4 linked regions of the Drosophila melanogaster genome follow. The protein of the gene in region 2 interacts with the protein of the main gene of each other region in a pairwise test. Each region holds a gene or a part of one and is shown on either strand. Other genes may lie near its edges. The genes, in order: CG34404, CG15071, mr and ERp44.

Region 1 (6,016 bases), on a different chromosome or scaffold from region 2:
GAAGCGACAAGAAGTCCTAATACTGCTTGAAGATACGGTAGACTCGTCGGCGGCGTCCTGTGCATTGCTATTAGTGGGCTCGGTTTTTACCATCGCAGCTGCAGGTGAGTTTCCATTGTCCGCTGGTTCGGCTTTAATCTTGATCGCAGGAGTAGTGCTTGTGGGCTCATCTGCATTCTCCACTGGCTCAGCTTTTATTTTCATAGGAACTTCAGGATTTGTTTCATCTTTAATGGACGCCACAGGCTCCTCCGATTTTACGCGCTTTCTTAGGCCGTTTTCTGCGCCAAAATTTGCGTTGCAATTGTGTGTGATATCTTCAGAAGATTTTCGTTTAGCGCCACTATCGGCTGTAGATGCATCTGTGGCACTCATTTTAAGTAAATTAAGTTAAATTTTCAAAACATTTTTATTTCACAAGTACTCATATACTTGATTCTGGTGATTTGCAACACTACACGAAATGGTGATGGATGCTTAAGTTAGTTTCATTAGCTTATCGATTAATTATTGGAGCCAATTTCAAATTCGTGAATTTTATCGAGTTTTAGTAGACGTTTTATATTTTGTACAGTTTTAAATACATATTGAATCATATAACAAGCAAAATGCGAATACATTGTATAAATATAGGATCCCGTGTATGCGTCTTGAATAACTCCTTAGTTTGTCTATTCGTATGTGTGTATATGTAATTGCTTGTGGCCCATAGACGGATGCTCCAATCCCACGGATCTATGGATAGGTTGGTGGAGCCTTGCTCATGGCACCTCTGAATATGTATGTATTTGAGTATGTAGTTACTGCAGCCTTATCTGCGAGGCAGGGACACCGCCCAAGCCCCAGCCGACTGCAATTAAGTCGCATGGCACATTCGTGATACTGTCTTGGTCATGGCGGATCCACGGCGACTGCTGGGCGGGTGGTCATTGCATTAAAGGTAAAATAAGCGATATGATCGAGAGGGAAAGATCTTTTGCGGGATATGTGACAAGCGCGCCCGCTCCACGCCCAGTTGCTCAGTCCTCCTGGAAGGTCGTCATGCGTTTCCTACAGAGTAGTCTCAGGAACATGGTTATGGCCTTGCTCGTAGTCCAGCCGCAGGTCAACAATCTTCTGCTCTAGCTTCCTCACCCGCAGCTGGTACTTGCGCTTGGTGTGATCTAACATTTGGCCCAGATTGCTAAAAGGGAAATATGAAGAAATTATGTATGAAACAGTCAAAATAAAACGAATCTTACTGGTTGGATTTCTGCAGTTCACGCACGTTCTGATGCAGTTGCTCGTATTTTTCGTCGAAGGCCTTCTGCGAAGCTGTTACATTTGCCAATAGCGTCTGTATGCGACCCTTGAGCTCCGTTTCTCGAGTTAAGGCCTCCACCAACTGCTGCTCTGTGAGAGCCGCATGCTCCGCCTCCGAATACGAGACCCGGTTGTTTGCCTGTAGCTGCTTTAGGGCTTCGTGGAGTATGCCCACTCGTTCGTTGGCGTTCTGCCGTTCCTGCTCGGCCTCTTCCATTTTTGTCTTCAGCTGCAAATTCGAATCCCGCAGCTCGAGTATTTCTTGCATAATCACTGCTGTCTCCAAGTCAATGGGTGACTTCTTGTCCGCGCTCCGAAGTTCGTGCTCCTTTTCCAAAGCCAGGCGCTTTCTTTCGTATATGTCGCTGAAGGGTGATTCCAAACTGACAATGGTATGCTGGACATTGGAACGACGTCCCTTCAGCTTGGAGACGTGGTAACGCAGGCGGTTGTCGTCGTCGGCACACCACGGGCGGCCAGTTTTTGGGGCATCCTCTGGGCCCAGGTTGATGTTGTGTTGCCACGGTCCCAGGCTGTTCTCACAAACGTTTTTCTCGCTATCCAAACGGGCTAGCAGGTGCCTGGCCACCGCCTCCACCGATCGTCGACTCTCTTCCGCTGCCACTGATTTCTCCCCCAGCAGTGCCAACCTGGAAGTGATGAATTGTGAAATAGGGACAACAACCCGCGTCTTATGGTGATTGTACTTACTTGCTTTCGAGCAGAGCCAACATTACGTCGTAGGCCTCGATGGCGCGATCACTGCAATTAAGCGCCAACTGAAGAGCAACCGCATTGGACTCGTACTTTCCGCATAGCAGATACAGATGCTCAGTGTGCTCCTTGCATTCGTCTAGCGTCAGTGCCAGCATGGTGTTTCGCATCTCCAATTGTTCAACACGTCGTTGCAGTCGCTCCAAGTCTTTGCTCAAATGTAGGGGCTCCATAAAGTTCTCCATATATAGATTTTGCTCCTTTAGCTCCGACACCAAATGTTCGACCAGATTAATTTGCTTAAAATTATGGGTTGTATGGGTTGAAATGTATTCTCTGAATAAAGTTTTGGTCAACACACCTCGTTGCTCAATGAAGTATCTTGGGATGGATCTTCTCCGGATTCATGTTTGCTGGCGCACCGCAACTTAACCCGTTCAGCCATTTTCGGTACCGCTGGAATGCGTTTTTGCGGACTTGTCAAGGAAGTGCAAACTGAAAGCATCTAAATGTGTAACCATTCTTTTATCATCAGGATTATTTATATTACCATTCAAATCATTCAGTCGCTGTCCGCACTCGTTGACTTCCGATTCGCAGTCGAAGGCGACTTTGGTCTGTTCCTCGACCACAGCAGCATCCTTGGTGGAAATCTCGGACTGGAGGAGGGCGATTCGAGCTCTCAAGTGCAGAACTTCCTCCTGCAGTGCCTCCACTTGTCCCTTATGGCTCAGTTCCGGCGGTTTGTGGGCAACGTTACCCACGCTGGTGGTACTGCAGGCGCCCTCGAAGTCTTCCAGTGGTTCTGTTTGACATTCGGCATCAGGATTGGTGAGGTTAAGCTCGGAATTGTACACTGAACCCTCCTGAAAGCTGAGTTCTGAAAACAAGACTGTCGGTTAGGGGTTTGTTTCCCTCATTTGAAACTGCTACGCACCGCTGCCGTCGGGCTCCTGCTCCTCCATGATAACGTGGTCCTGCTTACTGCGCAATTTCTTGCTTAACTCGGCGATGACACAGTGCATCTCTGTGATGCGACACTCGTGGGCCTGGCTGACAACCTCCAAGCGCTTGTGGCATATTTCCCGCTCTGTGTTGCTCTCAGTGAGCTGTCTTTCCGCCTGCTGCAGACGCTGCGTTAGATCCCGCACCCGGTTTTCTAGCTGTTGTACCGACAGTTGCTCAACCTGGAGGTGAATCAAAAGAAAAGAGGCGGATTAGAGCTTTCTAAGTGGTTATTCTTGGGGTCATCACGTTTATGGGCCGTCTGGCCAGAGGATGAGCCATCAGCGTATACTCCCAACTGCGTCTCTTGTCGTTGGGCACCGATGGCGTATCGCTGCAGCACAGGCAGCTCAAGCTGCGCGGAAGCAGTTGCTCCGAAATCATGGTCCAGTGGAAAATTTTGACTGGCGATTACGTCGTCATCCGACCGCGGATGCATCCGCGCTCTCCGCCGCTGCAACTTGACCCTCAGCCTTCCACACGCATCTGCGCACTGGACGCCAACCGAATTTAAAGCCCGAAACACTTTGAAAACCAATGATTGAAAATTCTGCGTTTCTTATTTTAAACTACACAATAATGAGGTATTTTTAAATATTTTGTGATCATTTTAAAAATTAATTTAAAATGAACTTGATCATGTTTAGTACCAATGTATCATTGCAAATTAATATATTGATTTTTTTGATTTAAGATCTAGTTATTTCTCTCAGTGCGGGCATCATTACTCACTTTGTTGACAATGTCTAGCGTGGAGCAGCTGGATATGTTGTTGTCACTCTCGGTGGTGTCCCGCTGCGTGTGCTCCGGAGAGTCCAGGTCGGAGGATCCCACCAAGTGCCTGCCACCGGGTCCTCCACCGCGCGGCGAAATGCTACCGAAGACGTACTCGAAATCCTCGCCAGCCGCGCTGCCGGAGTGCTTGCCCTGGAATCCGCTGGAGTCACGCTGCTTGCCACTGCGACGCGGCACATCGGTAGCTATCTTGGCCACCCGGGCGACCTGCACATCATTCGACATGGTGGCAATGGGCGGCTGCAACGACTTTCCGACTAGAATTGGCCTGATTTGGGCCGCTTGATGATGACTTTTGATTGGTGCTCCATTCCCAGGATATGTGGCACTGGTGTTAACTCTACATGGCTCATTAAAAACTTTTCTTAAGGCATTTTTAATTCAAAAACTCGAAATTACTCCAACCAGTCGGGATATTTATTGCATTCTTATCAGAAAATGTATACCCAGAAATAAGAGTGTGTGAGAGTGTGTTTATGCTAACGGTATGCAACACTCCGCATATTATTTATCGATAACTTGGGCGCGTCTTTTAAAACTGTATGCTATAGTTATTGTACATATCCAGTTTCAACGCAATATCGATTGAATAAAGTGATTTATTTTATATAATCTGGTTTTATTGTACGCTGTTGCGGTAATATATATATGTATTATATCTTTTGTCAACACTGAGATATGGTTTCATCCATTTCTTTGGGAGTCCTCAATTGAACTAGTTTTTCTCTAAGGAATAGCCGCCAGATTCTCTGCTCGTATCGTCACCATAGCCTCGTAGTCCCGCATGTCCAGATCGTGAAGTGCTTTCTGGACCAGAGTGGCCAGGTGAGGCGGCAGGTCCTTCAGATCCTCCATACGTTCCCGTGCCACTGCACTGGATATTCGTGGCGTGCCGTTGCAGCGGCTGCTCAATCCACAGTTGCCCGAATCTGTTGTGGCGGATGAAGACTTTTGGAAGTCATCGGGCTGCACATCTGCACCGTACACAGACGAATCCACGGACTCCGTTGAAAGCGAGGACATTCCATCGTCGGAATGCAGAGCCTCAACGGACTTGTGCTTCTTTGAATCTTCATGATCCGCTGTAATGGCGACGCCTTCGTTATCTGGCTCAATGGACGGAGTGCTGCTGATGTCGGCGTCATCTACCATGGCGGCACAATAGCCATTGAGGAGCAGCTGCGAAGGCGCATAACCATATTCCACGTCCTCCTCCTGCTCCTCTGCGTTGTCATCGTTTCCGGAGAGGAGTTGTTGCCACCGCTGCTCCAGCTCCGTCATTTTGCCAGCCAGTATTCTGCAGGAAATATGGGTTTATGAAATATATATCAACTTTCAGCTGGATTTTCCTACTTGTTGGTCTTCTTTTGGTGCGTCAGGGCCAAGTTCTTGTCGTTGAGATTGTCCAGCAGGGCCAGACACAAGGATTTTAGATCGCTTAAGCTCTCGGTTTTCTGAGGCAGCTCAATGCCACTCTCGAGGATTGTTTTCACTAGGGTACAAACAAATTAGAAAGGCATGAAAGAGGTGGCCACCATATAATTACTCACCTTGCCGGGGGCTTAGAATGGTGTCCTCATTTGTGCTCCCACCGCCAAGTTTTACAATTCCCTTCTTTCGTTTTGCATCCAACATTGTCTGAATGATTTAAATATAAATAAATAAAATGGTAATAAGTCTTAACTAATACCAGTACCTTGTACTTATTGATGCTCTGTTTGGTGAGCTCCAGTTCGCTGTCTTGGATCTTCACACGTTCATGCAGGTACTTGTTCTCCAGCAAAACACCATCGATGTCCAGGAGCTGGAAAATCAATAACTATCAAGTAAGTACTATATAGCATCAGTTAACTCACCCTTGGATGCGTTTTCTTCGCCCTGAGGGCCACAAAGAGTTCATGATTTAGGCGGTGTGCCTTGCACTTGTAGGCATCCCGCTCGGTTATCAGCTCCTCCTTCTCATCGATCACCGCCTTCAGGTCGAAGGCCAGCTGGGCATTCCTTTTTTTGAGGCCCTCCAGGTGGCAGATAAAGTTTGCCCGCTCACGACGCCACTGCAGCTCCTCCTTGTTGCGAGCGGCATTCTCGCTGGCCATTGCCTGTACCCGCGACTTGTTGCTGGCCTCCGTCTCCCGGAGTAGTTCCATGTCGCCATGCAGCTCGTTGAGCCGCTGCCTCAGGGCTTCCACTTCGGTGCTGA
Region 2 (2,844 bases):
GTATGGAAAAAACAGAAATGCCATTGCCACGTGCCGTTTGACCTTTCCCCATTGGTCGCCCGGCGAATGCGATGAACCTCAAGCTCGGCGCTCGCAAATGAGACATTTCAAAATAATCGCAACCAGAAATACACCAACAACAAGTATAGCAGTCGTGGCAGAAAATACCAGTGTCGCCTCCGTTTGGGAATCCTTCAGCCGAAGGCGAAAAAAGTCGCATCAAAAGGTCCTATTGATTTAAAAGGCAAGCAGCTCAAGGCAAGGTCTAAAATGTTGTTGATTACGAGTGTCGCCCATTAAATAAGGGCCCTGAAACAATGTCAAGAATTTCAGCAATATTTGTCTGCAAATCGCAATGCATGGCCATCGAGAAAAGCATTTGCTCCGTAATACTTTTTCAAAACTAATGGTATTTGCATTTAAATTGGATTGGATAATACTTTGTAGGTATATCTACTTTTGAAACTATTCCACTTGATTTAAAGATATTTCTTTATTGTTTTGCAAGCCTATTCAAGTTATAGAACAAATACAAATTTTTGGGATATTATCTATGTGAAAAAGTGAAAAAAAAACTAATCCAAAAGTTGCTGTATATTAATCTACATGCTACCTTTCCACAACAGCTTATTTTCAATTTCCATTTTAGCGTACTGCTCCCTCAGTTCTTCGAGTTCCTTTGAGTTCCTAGCAGCCAAGCGATACAATTGGGCATTTAGGCCAACGATTCTTTCCCTTAGAGCATTCACTGTATATTGGCTAAGACGTTCTGGCCGAAAGACATCCTCCTTAACGGTGGCCACAAAATGCCACATATCCTGAAGCTCTCCACGCTTTTCGCTGCTATATAGCTTAAGTTTTTCATGGAGCACAAGTTTCTCCTGTTCGATTTCGTTGATCAGACCTATTAGATCTGCCGTGGAGGAACTGTTGGGTCGTGGATTTCGACCAGTTTCCGGCTCTTGGCAAGACTCGGTCTTTGAATCTGTGCCCTCATCATCTTTGAGTATGAAATTATTGGGATTCAGCTTGACTTGATTGCATTCGAGATATTTTTGCTGCGCCTTCAGGCGCGTCAATTCACACAGAATGGCGGTAGGTGTTAGTTTTGCCGCCCTGATCTTGGGCGGAATTTTAACTTGATTCCGTTTACGAGCGGGTTTTTCCGGCGGTTGAGCCCTTGGAGCCGTTGGCTTTTGTTCATCGTCTTTTGGATTTTCCATTGGGGCTTCGGTAGCATGTGATTGTTGCACAACATCCAAGGAGAGAGTCGTTGCAACTTCTGCAGCGCTCGTTTGGTTGTTCTTATTTACACGCGGTAATCAAACGTGTTGCCAGCACACCCAACCACCCACCCACTCCTTCCACGTGTTTAATCGATATGCAACCTTTCCACCCCCCTCGATTTTTCCGGCTGCTGTGCCAACAATTCTATGCTTCTGCCGGGGGTCAGTAAACTTTATTTGGCTTGGCTGGATTTTACAATTTTCCAAACGGCAGCGGTAACTTTCAGTGGAAATGGAAAATCGATTAGTACAATTACTGTTTCCATGTCATGGCCTACTTAATTGCCCATGGAAATGGGACAAACGGGGTCGTGGCTTGAAGACCACTTTCGTGGCTAACTAATTTCTAATCAGTACTTGTGGGAGACCGGGAAAATCCACCTGCTAGCCAAAAACTCAAGTGACGATCAAATGTTTGGCGAGCTAATCAAGTTTCAATGGACTAACAAAAGTATAAAGTAAAAGTAGGAAATACAACAGTGAGCCTTGCTTTAGTGGAACTAATATATTAAATCACAATCTACAATCAATGAAATCAAAGCTAAGAAGGTTTATATATTATGCAAAAATGTTCGTTATATTTAAGATTCACTGTTAACTAACGAAATTCGTTTATATTTAAATTGCCTTTTTTTTTTATGTACGGCTAAAATTGCTGGAATTACAAAAGTGCTTGGTATGGAAGTTTGACTGTTTGTGCGGATGAAATGTTGATTTATTATTTGTTTTGCTATCGCCTGCAAAGTCAAATCGGGCAGCATTAACTTGGCGCGTGCTGTTTGTCTTCTGTCTCCCTCCCACCCACCAGCCACAACCCACTTGCGCCCACACCACCCACTCCGCTGTGCGACAGAGACAGAGAGCGAACGCACGTGACTGATTTGCGAATTTACTTTTCTTGCGATGACAAAACATCGTGGATGAAAAATCAGCAGAAGAAGCAACTCCACTGATAGCATTTGTGCTTATCATTGGAATGTATGTATGTATGCGTATTTTTTTTTTTTGCTGCAGATAGCATAGTTTTGTTAGTATCAAAAGCATACAAATATGAACGTGGAAATGCAAAGGAAAGGCAAAAGGTCGACCTTAGATTTAGTGCGCATAATTTTTTGGGTTTTGTAAACACACACACACACAGTAGAAATATGATAAAAACCGCAGACACACGAATGGTGAGCTGCAAAAAGCCGCGAAATTGTTAATAAAAAGGTAAATAAAAATTGTTAAACGATTTCAGCCACCCATCTCGCTCGCTCATCATCTCCGTCCCGCTTGCACTCGCTTCTTTTCGGTCTGACGCGTGTTAGATGTTCAAACATGTTTTCGGTCTGCTGGCCAAAAGGCAACGCTCAGACGGCAGCTTAAATATTTGCCCATAGCGAAAGATCAATCAACAAATGTGAGCGAGACGGTGTGAATTGACCAGAAAGAGACGGGTAGAGCATAGGGCTGCACAGAGAGAAATAATATCGACATATAAATAATGAAATGTATAGTAGCATACAGTTTAAACAGTTTAAAAACTCACATTTGCAATGCGGTTTTTCATCTTAAC
Region 3 (5,057 bases), 5.3 Mb from region 2:
ACGACGAGGCGAATGTGGAGAATGTGCCCCATCACGGAGTTGAGACTGAGCCTGAGGACGACTCGCACTACGGCGGGAACGGCAACTCTAAGATCCGCATAATGCCCAGTGTGAAGCTAATGGCCACGACGCTCGCCTCCGATCCCAAGCGCAAGTTCGTCTGCCCGTATGACAACTGTACAAAGAGCTACGGCAAGAGCTCCCACCTGCGGTCCCACCTCACCTGGCACACGGGCATCAAGCCCTTCGTCTGCAGCGAGCCCAAGTGCGGCAAGGGATTCACGCGCTCCGATGAGCTCAACCGGCACCTCCGGACGCACACCGGCGAGAAGCCCTTCGAGTGCATCCAGTGCACCAAGAAGTTTTCCCGCAGCGACCACCTCACCAAGCACCTAGCTACCCACGACCGCCAGCTAAAGGGCAGCACCCCGAAGCGAACAGTACCGAGCAGCAGTGGTGGAGTCCGGCTCAAGCCCCCGAAGAAGCAGATTCATTCGGAGTCGGACTCGGGCTTCCACTTCATGGCCGCCATGGTTGGTTGCGGGGAGCCGAGCATGAAGCACCACCACCAGCAGCAGCAGCATAACCAGCACCAGCAGCCCGTGAGCATTATCGACATCCACCACAAGCCGATAAAGATTAAGCTGGAACGGCCGGAGCACAGCGACAAGTACCAGATCGTATCTCCTGAACACCAGATGGATAACCATGGCCACAACCAGAGCCAGTTGCCCGATTTCCTTAACCAGGCGAAGCCCGAGGTAAAATACGAACCGACCGAAGAAATTGTAAATACCCTCTCTCAGCTACCGCCGGCGGACGGACCCGGCACGTATGGGATGCCCCAGTTCGTTCAGGATCGGCCTTTCTACTGCCGGCAGTGTGAGAAGCGGTTCAAGCGGCAGGACGACCTCAACCGACACATACGAACGCACACCGGGGAGAAGCCCTACGCCTGTCAGCAGTGCTGTCGCCGGTTTGTGCGGAGCGACCACTTGAAAAAGCATCAGCAGACGCATTTGAAGATACGATAGTTTCATAGTTACTCCTTACTCCTTAAGTCGCTAGCCATTGGCATCCGCATCCAATCGATATTGGCTACCACACGGGCGTGTGTCGGGTGACGCACACAGTACAATAAAATTAAATAAATTCGCAATCTAACTATATTCCTATGCAAGATCAGCGCCGGCTCTCAAATCTCAATTTGTATGTATGTATGTAAATAAGTCGTATGCAATTTAATTTTAGCTCTAACTGTTTGTGTTTGCCGGAACGTGAAGACATACATCTGTATTTCTGAAACTCTTGCTGTTTCTTATTTTCTGGCTACTAAGCTCCCCGTATCTATTAATATAATTTATTTTAGTAAAACTGTTATTTATATTTATGGGCTAATTGATGGGGAACTGATAGTTCATCAGGATCAGGACTCGATCCAGTTTGAAATTTGGAATATGATTAATAATGGCCTATAAGAATGAATAATAGATATATGTATAATTTCTGATAAATCAAAGATTCATCGACTATCGGTTCGGTTGATAGAATCGACTTATCGATAACAGCATTATCATCACCATTGGCGTTTGATTCAGAGTTTCAAGCAATGTTTTGCACTGTTTAAAATAATTACACACAAGCGATGTGCGACTTTGACGCTTTGTGGGCGGATGTACTGAGAATCTTTCCGGTTTTGGGTGGAGCGGTAGGTTTATTCCTTCGGTTCAGTAATAGGGATTGGCGCTAGCACTCAGAAACTCTTACAGAACGCTGTATCCAATGATCCGGTTGAGGAGAATGTATTCCAAAATGTTCGCCAGCACCTGATGGTGTTGGGCAGCATAGACACCTTCGCGGCGGTTGTGGACCTGGAAATCCAGTCGACTATTCGGAATGTCCTGGTGCCCAAGTTCTGGAAGCACATCCACGACGGCTTGGTCTCGTCTAAATTGCAGGGCTGGATTAACGACCAAGCTCTGGCCATAGAAGCACTGCCCGATAAGAACGGACTGTTCACCCAGTTCATCGACGCCATCAATGAGCTGCATGACAGCTTTCAGAGCCTGATGCAGGTGAAGCCCAGGCTGATCCAGCTAGTTGGAGCTGAGACAAAGCCCACCGCAAAGACGGTGAAGCTCATGCAGGAGGAAGGCATTAAGAACTGCTTAAGGGACTGCTTGCTGGCTCAACTGCCACCCAATTTCAGTGTGGTCGTTGGGGCCTTCTACTGGGTGCACTTTAAGCTCTTCACCAAGGCCTCAAATCTCGCATTGACCACAGTTGGTATGTATCCGATACATACTCCTGTGGTTCCCATGCTCACTTGCTTTCCCCTTCAGACTCTGATGTTTTCGATGAGCTCCTCTGCGTTGGCTGCAACTTCGAAGCAGAGCAATGCTGCTGCCAAAGGCTGACGGATATGGTTAACAAGACAAACATGAAGCTCTTCGAGATGAACCTCATTGACCGTCTAACTGGGAGTGCTTTAACCGCTCTCATCAAGCTTAAAATCAAGGAGCACATCAGCGATACATGCATGGGAATCTTCGACAGAAGTCATCTTAAGCAACTGGAAACTGTAAGTTGAATGGGAATACCTTCTGTTGTCATAAATAAACTACTTAAGTAACTCATTTATTACCTACCTTTGCAGTGGCTATCGGATGTCATAATGTCCTGGCTCACAAACATATTCACGGAATGGAAGTCTAAGGATAGCATAAGCGATATCGAAGTTCCCGAGTCTGTAAAATCCTTCAAAGTCAAACTGACTTACTTTATGTACGAAACGTTTGCCCAAAGCGTTATTGGTCAGTTCTTCAGCATTATAATTGGTATGTGCCCGTAGATTCAGCCAAGAGTCCCCCAACTACATGTATTTATTTGTAAACAGACTATCCCGATTCCATTCCGGCTATAGATGACTTAAAGATTTGCATGGAGAAAATAGATATGCGAGTCTACCTCACTGAATCCCTTAGGAACTCGCTAGAGGCAAGGATTCTGCATCCTGGAGTCAACACCATGGACATATTAACGGGTTACGTGGCAGCCATCAAAGCTATTCGCCATCTGGATAGTACCGGAGTCATCTTAGAGATGGTAACTGCTCCAATCAAAGATTACCTGCGGAAACGAAACGACACAGTGCGACGCGTAGTCACTGGGTTGACTGAAGAGGGGCCCACGGACTTATCCGAGGAACTCGCCAAGGGAGAAACAATTAAGGAATGCAAGGACTCGGGTACCGATGAGTTCAGCAACTGGGAAAATTGGCAACCCGATCCGTTTGGTATAGATGCCAGCATTATGCAGTACAACAGCTCGCGGAAGATGAGATCGGCCGACATTATATCGATGGTTGTAGACATATACGGCAGTAAGGAGTTGTTTATGACAGAGTATCGCAATCTAATGGCGGACAGACTGCTGGCCCAGTTAGATTTTAATTCCGAAAAAGAAATTCGAAATCTGGAACTGCTGAAAATCCGCTTTGGCGAATCGCTGCTGCACAGCTGCGAGGTGATGTTGAAAGACGTAACCGACTCCAAGCGAATTAACGCGCACATCCACAGCGATGGCGACCGAACTGAAAGTGAGTTACTTTTAATTTTCAAAATGCTTTAACGAAACCATCTCATTTTAGATCAGTTGTTCGACATCTCCTCGCTGATTGTTTCTGCTCAGTTTTGGCCGTCCTTCAATAAAGAAAGCCTCCAACTTCCTGAGGAGATTGAGAATGAGTTCAAGAAGTACACCAAGGCCTACGAGGCATACAAGGGCAACCGTACGCTCAACTGGCGTACAGTGACTGGCCGTGTAAATATTGAAATCGAGATCGGTGACCGGACCATGGAAATGGTTGTGAGCCCCATTTTGGCGGTTATTATATACCACTTTCAAACTAAGAGTACGTGTTTACAGGGCAGTCAAGTTTTACAGTTTTACAACCGCATGGTCATATTTTTTTTTCAGATGAATGGACTATCGAGGATCTTAGTTCCATTACGAAAGTTCCAGCGTCTGCACTGCGGCGTCGTCTGAGTTTTTGGCAAAACCACGGATTGATCTCGGAAACGACACCCGGAATATTCACGCTGCTGGAAAAGGAATCGGAGAAGTCTCAGTACGAGGACATGAGTCTGGCAGAAGCTGACGAAGAGGATTTGGAATCCGCAATGGCTTCTGCCAGCGATCAAAGGGAAGAAGAACTCCAAGTAAGTGCCTTCAACTGTTCCTAATTCCGGCTTTTTCTTATACAATTATGCCGCAGGTTTTTTGGTCCTATATTGTTGGAATGCTCACGAATCTTGACTCCATGCCAATTGACCGAATCCACCAGATGCTGAAGCTGTTCGCCTCCCACAGCGGCGGAGTGGAGTTTACTCAGGATGAGCTGAAACACTTTCTCCAGCGAAAAGTCAGGGAGCACAAGCTAATATTCTCGGGTGGAGTTTACCAATTGGCCAAATAAGTTTCGGAGATCCAAAACCAAGTTGCAAACGACTGAAGGAATCATGAAATAAATAATGAATTAACGCGATAACATTTATGAAATTTACTGCTCCATGTTAAACGTACCTATTTTTTCAAACTGCCGTCTTATCTGTTTCTATTCAGAGCTTATCTCTCACCCACGTACACACAAAGTCTTTACCCAAACTTGTTTGGCTTGGGAATTTGGAACACAATGCAAGCAATCTTATGTGAAAAGAAGAACACACAGTAAAATACGTCTATTGCTTAATTTATTTCAAGTTATATTAAGGTATATGCTAATCCCGTTATCAACAAATTCAAACTTCTTAGGGCTCTAAAACTAAAGGCGAAGAAAAGTGTACGTGGTTTTGATATACTTTACAGGTTAAACAGTTTTTGGCTTCATAAAATCAATCACGAACGCAGTGGCTAAATCGATCACTTTATACACGCAAACAACTTGGAATTTAATGCTGTAATCGTTCTAAACTGTAATCTGTACATCAAAAGTTACTTCAGGTATGCGGACCAGCTAGTCCTCGTGCAAGAATCGAGCTTGGTAGACACGATCTCGG
Region 4 (6,318 bases), on a different chromosome or scaffold from region 2:
TGCAGAAAAACTGGACATCGCTCGTTAACTTCATCGGAATTGGGACCATTTCCAGAGCGATCGGCGAATTTGTGTCCAAAGTTCAGCCATTCACGCTCGACAAGAACGCGGAACCCCTGCAAATACAAGCAAGTAGGTAGAGTATTAGTCCATAGAACACAAATGTTGATGTATATCAACGTACCTCAACCGTTCTGTAGTAGGGATCCAAACATAATTGCGCCGTGGCCACGATCTGTGGAGTGCGATCCCAACCGTCTGAGCAATGTACAAGGACGGGTCGTCCATTCTTCTCGATGGTGTGCACAACGGTCATGGTGGCTCCCAGCAGACCCGACAGGTGCTGCATCCACATGGTCTTTTCCAGTTGTCCGTACCAGCTGCAAGAATATGATTCCATTACATAAATATATATATATCTTTAATAATCAGCTAGTAAACTTACTTTGGATCATCGGGGGATGACGCGCATAGCTGTCGGACAGCGTGGAAACTCTTTCGAATGGCGTGGATGTTGCCCAAGTTCATAAACTCAATCTCTGCACAGGGATAGTACTCGATGCACTCACAGCCGCCACCTCTGGCACGATTTGTAACTGCGGAGGTGTAGCTGCGAGCATCCACAATGAGGATTTTCTGAAAGCAAATACAATTTAAGAGCAATGATCAAATTATTTCATTAGCACTTGGCGGTTTTGACATCATTTTACTGCTCCGTGTTAAGTAATTTATGATAATTATTCATGAATGTTTTCTTATATGGTAACTGAAACCTTCATTTCAAGAATACCCGGCTATTTTGGTAATAAACTTACCTTGATTTCATCCAGCGTGAGTTCCTCATGCGAGGAATCGTCCAGAGATGGTGAACTCTTGCCGGATAAGCCCGACTGGCCGTTGGTCTCCTTGGAGCCCTTTGTTGGTTGCGCCTTTGCATTGGCGCAGGTGGAATGCCTGGCGTGCTCGCCCCTGTCAAAGGCACAGGCATCGGCGAGTGCCTTGAGTAGCTGCTCGTCCCTTGTGTTGCGCCAGCCGAGCCAACCGACCTCCGGCTGGCTGCATCGGGCCAAGATGGCACCCGACTTTTGGTGCCGCCAGACGACAGCCGGCAGCCTTCGTGATCCCCGGAAGTTGGCCACGTTGTGGAGCATCTCATCGGTGATACAGCAGGGCACAAGCAATTTGGGTGGATACGAGGGACAGAGCTTAAAATCGGCATTGGCCGTGGAGATGCGCCACGAGCCCTTCAGATCGAATCCCAAGCGGGCAACCTCGTTCTTAAAGTCGCTTTCATAGCGCACTGATCGTTGCAGGCGATTGCTCATGGCGGCTGAGATGGTCTCGCTGGCAGGATCGGGCAGAGGATTCGACGCTGTGACGTTGGCTGTTGGCTTTGCCAAGCCATTGTGTAGCGTTAGGCAACGATCCTTGGCAATCAGGCCGTTTCCGTTGGCCTGGGCGCTAACGATACCGCTTCCATTGCCACTTCCGAGCACATCGCAGGTCCAGGAGTAGAAGGGAAAGGCGAAGAGTGTCTCCAGTGACTCGGGAACCCCGATCATCAGATGGATCCGGCGCTGCCAGTCGGAGCACTGTTCCGCCGACGGAAAGGAGCAGCGCACAGTGCTGGCATCCTTACAATTGACAATCAGCTGGAACAGATCTCGCACCTGTACGGATTCGATTAATCCCAATGGAACGTAGGTCTCGTAGCCGGTTGACTGCTTGGAAAGGAATATCCGATAATTGGACAGGGCGAGGATACCATCATCCGTGCGCCCCAGGTACTTAATCGATTCGCCGGCCACTAGTGGTATATATACTATAGATTAGCATGTGTTATCGGTTACAGCATATGGGGGAACACCTACACTCTTGAAACGGGACGAACAGCTGGGAGTCTTCCTTCTCCATTTGTGACTTTGGATACGATTCGGCGGCACGGATAAAGCAAATCGATGGAGGCGGTGATCCATCGGACATTGTGTGAATCGGCTAAAAGAATACTTAACATGTAACGTATTCGAAATTACTTATTTGCTTATATTTAGGCAAGGCGATTTGGGTGTCATTGGAAATCCGGTTATCGCTTATAAGTGCATATATCTCTTATATCCACCATCCGAATACATAATTACGCACAACAGTGTGTGTGCGATGTTATTGGGACGATTCGATACGTATAGTATAGTGGCTCCCATAAATAAATAAATAATACTATGCACATATGTGCATGTGCATTAAGCAGTGCACAAACAAAGCCAAATAAATGTCACTGGGATGATAAATTGGGCACAATCAACACTTTTAGAACAAATCGAAGTTAATATTTGAGTTTTTGAGTGTCGTGGTGGCAATATAGATAATGCACTGCATATATATGCACGTATGGATGTACAATGTACAATGAACATACATTTATGTGAGCACACACAGTTGCAGTTCCACAAGGTGCGCAATATATAGTATGCACATATTTGTGTGTCGCTGCATTACATACGCACGCACATATATACCAATAGACTAGATTATCACGATTTCATAGCCAATAGGCGAAAAATGGCCGATTATCGTACTCAACGTATTCTAATGGCCGTGTATGTTGTCATAAACAAAGTAATTAAACATTTACGCATGTGTATGTTTGCATAAACTCATATGTATATTTGTCTATGTAGGTATGTTTGTGTTTCGATATTTCGGGGAGCAACAATAACACATTACAATCGTACATATGTATGCACACACATTTGGTTTTTGGATTCCACAAACCGTTCGCTCAGCAGACTTTTCGGGGTATTTAGCTCAAAACGTATTGCCGAATTGAAAACGCGCTTGGCTTCTAGATTTTCTCGCTCTATTTACCACCATAAAATCCATAAGCGTCAGCTATTATAAACAAAGATTTGCAAATGTTGTTGCACATACATATGTATGCATATGTATTCATTTAGACACTTTTTGTTTCATTTCCATTGAAATTGCTATCGTTGTTTGCTGCTATCGCTGTTATCGCTGCTGTTAGCGATGGCCAAGTCATGTGACTAAGCTATCGTTACTCGATTGCCGATGAGATGTGCATTCGAGACTAACCAACACTGGCCAGCCGATAAAATCAACCAAAAATTTGTAAAACTTAATAATTGTGCGTACGTTTGCATTCCATTCCAGCTGATGTGTAACTGAAATCAGAAAAAAAGAGAACCGATCGCTTGGACTCTCCGCCGGTGCACGCAATTCTACGCCCACTCCTCGCCAGCCGCATTCGCCATTCGGAAGCCGAACAAGAATGTTTGGAGCCAGAATCGGAATCGGAAAGCTTGGGCCGTGTGTGGCCCTAGTTGCGGTGAGTCGACGTGTTCCGTTCTGTCTGGTCATGTTGCTGGTCACTGGAGTGGCTCACCCGCTCGATCAGCGGGCGGGGAAACAGTGGGGAGGGGCCGGCCAGACAGCCCCGGCTTTTTTTTGGCTCCCCCTAACCAAATAACTAACTAACCAGAACTGACATCCTATGGAATTTACAGATTCTACAGCTACTCCAGTACACACAGCCGGCCGATGCCGCCGGAGCCGTGCCCATGACCAGTGATAATATCGATATGACCCTAGGTGAGATATGCCCATACCATAACCATCACAGTCATCCCCATGCCATTCCCGCTGCCAGCGTGAGCGGGAATCAATTAGCCGACTTGTCCCATTGACGTGTCACTAAACAAAATCACTGGCTCGCTCAATTCGGCACTGCCAACGTGGTAAAATAAGTTTTATGCGCTTTCGTAAAGGACAAGGTGTGGAATTTGGATAAAACTTAATTAGGGCGGTTTATATTTCATGCTGCATCGGTCCGATAGTCCGCCAAAATGGGCACTAGCCATTGGTCGGCAGTTCTTTGCTCAGAATGTCCGAAGTTTGGTCTTTGCATGAATAGGTCCTTTTTATACGGTGTGTCCTGTACACAATCCTGCGGTAATACTATATTGTTTTTTTAAAGTTATTTTTTTTTATTATCCAAACGTTAACTTTTACAGTAAAGCCTGGCCTTAGGCTTGCACCCCTTAAATTTTAACTTTCGGAAGTTATGGAATAGTAGGATGCTAGAAATTTCTTGACTTTAATATGTATATTCAGCGACAAATTTAAATATATTCCATAAAAATACATATGCATTTAAATTATTAATACATAAACCCGTAATTCAATATTGATATAAATATATTACCAAATATATGTTTTTAAAAGTTATTATATTTAGTATCTGAACGGAGTTGTATTCTACGCATCAACAATTTTACACACAATTTGGTGCCTACATTAAAAACACGTTTTGTTTTCTTGCAGCGTCTAATGAATTGGTTTTCCTTAATTTTTATGCGGAGTGGTGTCGGTTTAGTAATATTTTAGCACCTATATTCGCGGAAGCTGCAGATAAGGTGAGTCAAATGGATCGCCAGTAAAAGCTTACAAACAATGCGATACATTCATATACATTTTATATCGAATAAATACGTGGCATTCAATCGAATTTCTCTTACAGATTAAAGAGGAGTTTCCAGAGGCTGGAAAAGTGGTGCTAGGCAAGGTCGATTGCGACAAGGAAACGGCCATCGCGTCCCGTTTCCACATAAACAAGTATCCAACATTGAAAATTGTACGCAATGGGCAGCTCAGCAAGCGCGAATACCGAGGACAGCGTTCAGCCGAAGCGTTCCTCGAGTTCGTCAAGAAGCAGCTGGAGGATCCCATTCAGGAGTTCAAATCCCTGAAGGATCTGGAGAACCTGGACTCGAAGAAGCGCCTCATTCTGGGCTACTTCGATCGTAGGGACCAGCCAGAGTACGACATATTCCGCAAGGTGGCGACAAATCTGAAGGAAGACTGCCAGTTCCACGTGGGCTTCGGAGATGCCGCCCAGGCCATGCATCCACCAGGTGAATTCTATCAAACGCACCAAGTCATGCCAAGCCAATACTGAATGTCAGCTTTTTTGGTCTATTACAGGTACACCTATCATAGTATTTAGACCTGATGTAGCTCTGTCTCATGAGAACGATGAGACCTACACTGGCAGCCTACAAAATTTCGATGAGCTCAAAATTTGGGTCCAAGAGAAGTGTGTACCCCTGGTGCGGGAAATAACATTTGAGAATGCAGAGGAACTTACGGAGGAGGGTCTGCCGTTCCTAATTCTCTTCCACCACCCAACCGATCATAATTCTATCAAGGATTACAAGTCGATCATTGAGCGTCAATTGCTGGATGAGAAACGTAAGATGAATCATCGTGTTGTTTACTTTGCATATAAGCATTTGGTTTGACATTGTATTTTCGAAATTTTGCAGAGAACGTCAACTTTTTGACCGCCGATGGCAAGCGATTCGCGCATCCTCTGCACCATCTGGGTAAATCCGAGGATGACTTGCCCTTGATTGCCATCGACTCGTTCAAGCACATGTATCTGTTCCCCCACTTCAGTGACATGTACTCGCCGGGTAAGCTGAAGCAGTTCCTTCAGGATCTCTACAGTGGCAAGCTGCACAGGTAATTGTTATACAGCCGCCTTTGCTAACACCATGGGGCTCAATTACTAAACGGTCTGCTGCTTTGCTTTCCAGGGAATTTCATTACGGGCCGGATCCCTCAAATGATATTGAACCTGACCCACACACTGGCAAGGGTACATCGCCACCAGAGTCCAAATTCAAGGAACTTGGCCCATCCAAGCATCGCTACACCCTGCTAGAAAAAGATGAACTGTAATATAATAATAATAATGTATATTGAAAATAAAAGAAAATAATACAAAAATGTAATAATGAGCAACCTTCTCTGAAAGCAGATCAGCAGGTGAGCGGTTATCCATGCAAATAGCGGGCGCAGCAGCCTCAATTCTCTTCAATGCAATTCTAAAAATAAAAAGTCTGGATTTAACCACCTTTGTTATTGCAAAAAGAAACAGTTGCTGAATTATCCACAAATTGCACGCGTCACTTTTCAAGTTTTCCTCGTTTTGTTGTTAAAAATTACGCTGGAGATTTCGGCGAGGCGAACTTATTGAATTCTTTGGAATCCCCTTCTTAGTCAGCTAAGCTGGAAATGAATGATGTCAACTTCCGAATTCAAAGCAGTGATTTTGATTTTCTCTATATATATATATATATACACATATATATGAGCTATATATGTATACATATATATATGTTTATTCGTATGTACCATGTTACAGTTACAGTTGTTAAATTAGATTACATAATTATATAATATAATTCAGTCAAAACGAGCGATAACCGTGTGTGTGTTGGGATAAAAATCGGTTCA

Evidence for each region.
Region 1: the proteins of CG15071 (region 2) and CG34404 interact in a two-hybrid assay, tested with the Drosophila melanogaster proteins (one large-scale study listed by BioGRID).
Region 3: the proteins of CG15071 (region 2) and mr interact in a two-hybrid assay, tested with the Drosophila melanogaster proteins (one large-scale study listed by BioGRID).
Region 4: the proteins of CG15071 (region 2) and ERp44 interact in a two-hybrid assay, tested with the Drosophila melanogaster proteins (one large-scale study listed by BioGRID).

Annotation. Positions count from the first base shown.
Region 1 is NT_033777.3:15,363,394-15,369,409, forward strand, and holds CG34404 (uncharacterized protein), read right to left. Parts: upstream 4,273-6,016; 5' UTR 4,042-4,272; coding exon 3,754-4,041; intron 3,430-3,753; exon of another isoform or gene 3,406-3,429; coding exon of another isoform or gene 3,271-3,405; exon of another isoform or gene 3,204-3,270; coding exon 2,954-3,203; intron 2,897-2,953; coding exon 2,567-2,896; intron 2,512-2,566; coding exon 2,378-2,511; intron 2,316-2,377; coding exon 2,014-2,315; intron 1,953-2,013; coding exon 1,242-1,952; intron 1,184-1,241; coding exon 1,051-1,183; 3' UTR 540-1,050; downstream 1-539. Other genes in the region: CG6171 (uncharacterized protein), read right to left, coding at 1-375; CG14868 (uncharacterized protein), read right to left, coding at 4,543-5,113, 5,170-5,308, 5,367-5,454, 5,513-5,620, 5,673-6,016.
Region 2 is NT_033778.4:18,695,013-18,697,856, reverse strand, and holds CG15071 (uncharacterized protein), read right to left. Parts: upstream 1,273-2,844; 5' UTR 1,224-1,272; coding exon 603-1,223; 3' UTR 512-602; downstream 1-511.
Region 3 is NT_033778.4:23,970,864-23,975,920, forward strand, and holds mr (morula), read left to right. Parts: upstream 1-1,567; 5' UTR 1,568-1,645; coding exon 1,646-1,708; intron 1,709-1,769; coding exon 1,770-2,286; intron 2,287-2,342; coding exon 2,343-2,581; intron 2,582-2,656; coding exon 2,657-2,837; intron 2,838-2,896; coding exon 2,897-3,598; intron 3,599-3,649; coding exon 3,650-3,913; intron 3,914-3,978; coding exon 3,979-4,220; intron 4,221-4,276; coding exon 4,277-4,477; 3' UTR 4,478-4,545; downstream 4,546-5,057. Other genes in the region: CG3065 (uncharacterized protein), read left to right, coding at 1-1,034; PPP1R15 (protein phosphatase 1 regulatory subunit 15), read right to left, coding at 5,015-5,057.
Region 4 is NC_004354.4:16,293,338-16,299,655, reverse strand, and holds ERp44 (endoplasmic reticulum protein 44), read left to right. Parts: upstream 1-1,995; 5' UTR 1,996-2,014; intron 2,015-2,416; exon of another isoform or gene 2,417-2,573; intron 2,574-2,748; exon of another isoform or gene 2,749-2,865; coding exon of another isoform or gene 2,866-2,880; exon of another isoform or gene 2,881-2,985; intron 2,986-3,068; exon of another isoform or gene 3,069-3,171; 5' UTR 3,172-3,289; coding exon 3,290-3,346; intron 3,347-3,385; exon of another isoform or gene 3,386-3,524; coding exon 3,525-3,609; intron 3,610-4,341; coding exon 4,342-4,433; intron 4,434-4,537; coding exon 4,538-4,931; intron 4,932-5,001; coding exon 5,002-5,268; intron 5,269-5,342; coding exon 5,343-5,541; intron 5,542-5,615; coding exon 5,616-5,760; 3' UTR 5,761-5,803; downstream 5,804-6,318. Other genes in the region: CG3632 (uncharacterized protein), read right to left, coding at 1-116, 185-380, 446-636, 816-1,807, 1,872-1,995, 2,866-2,880.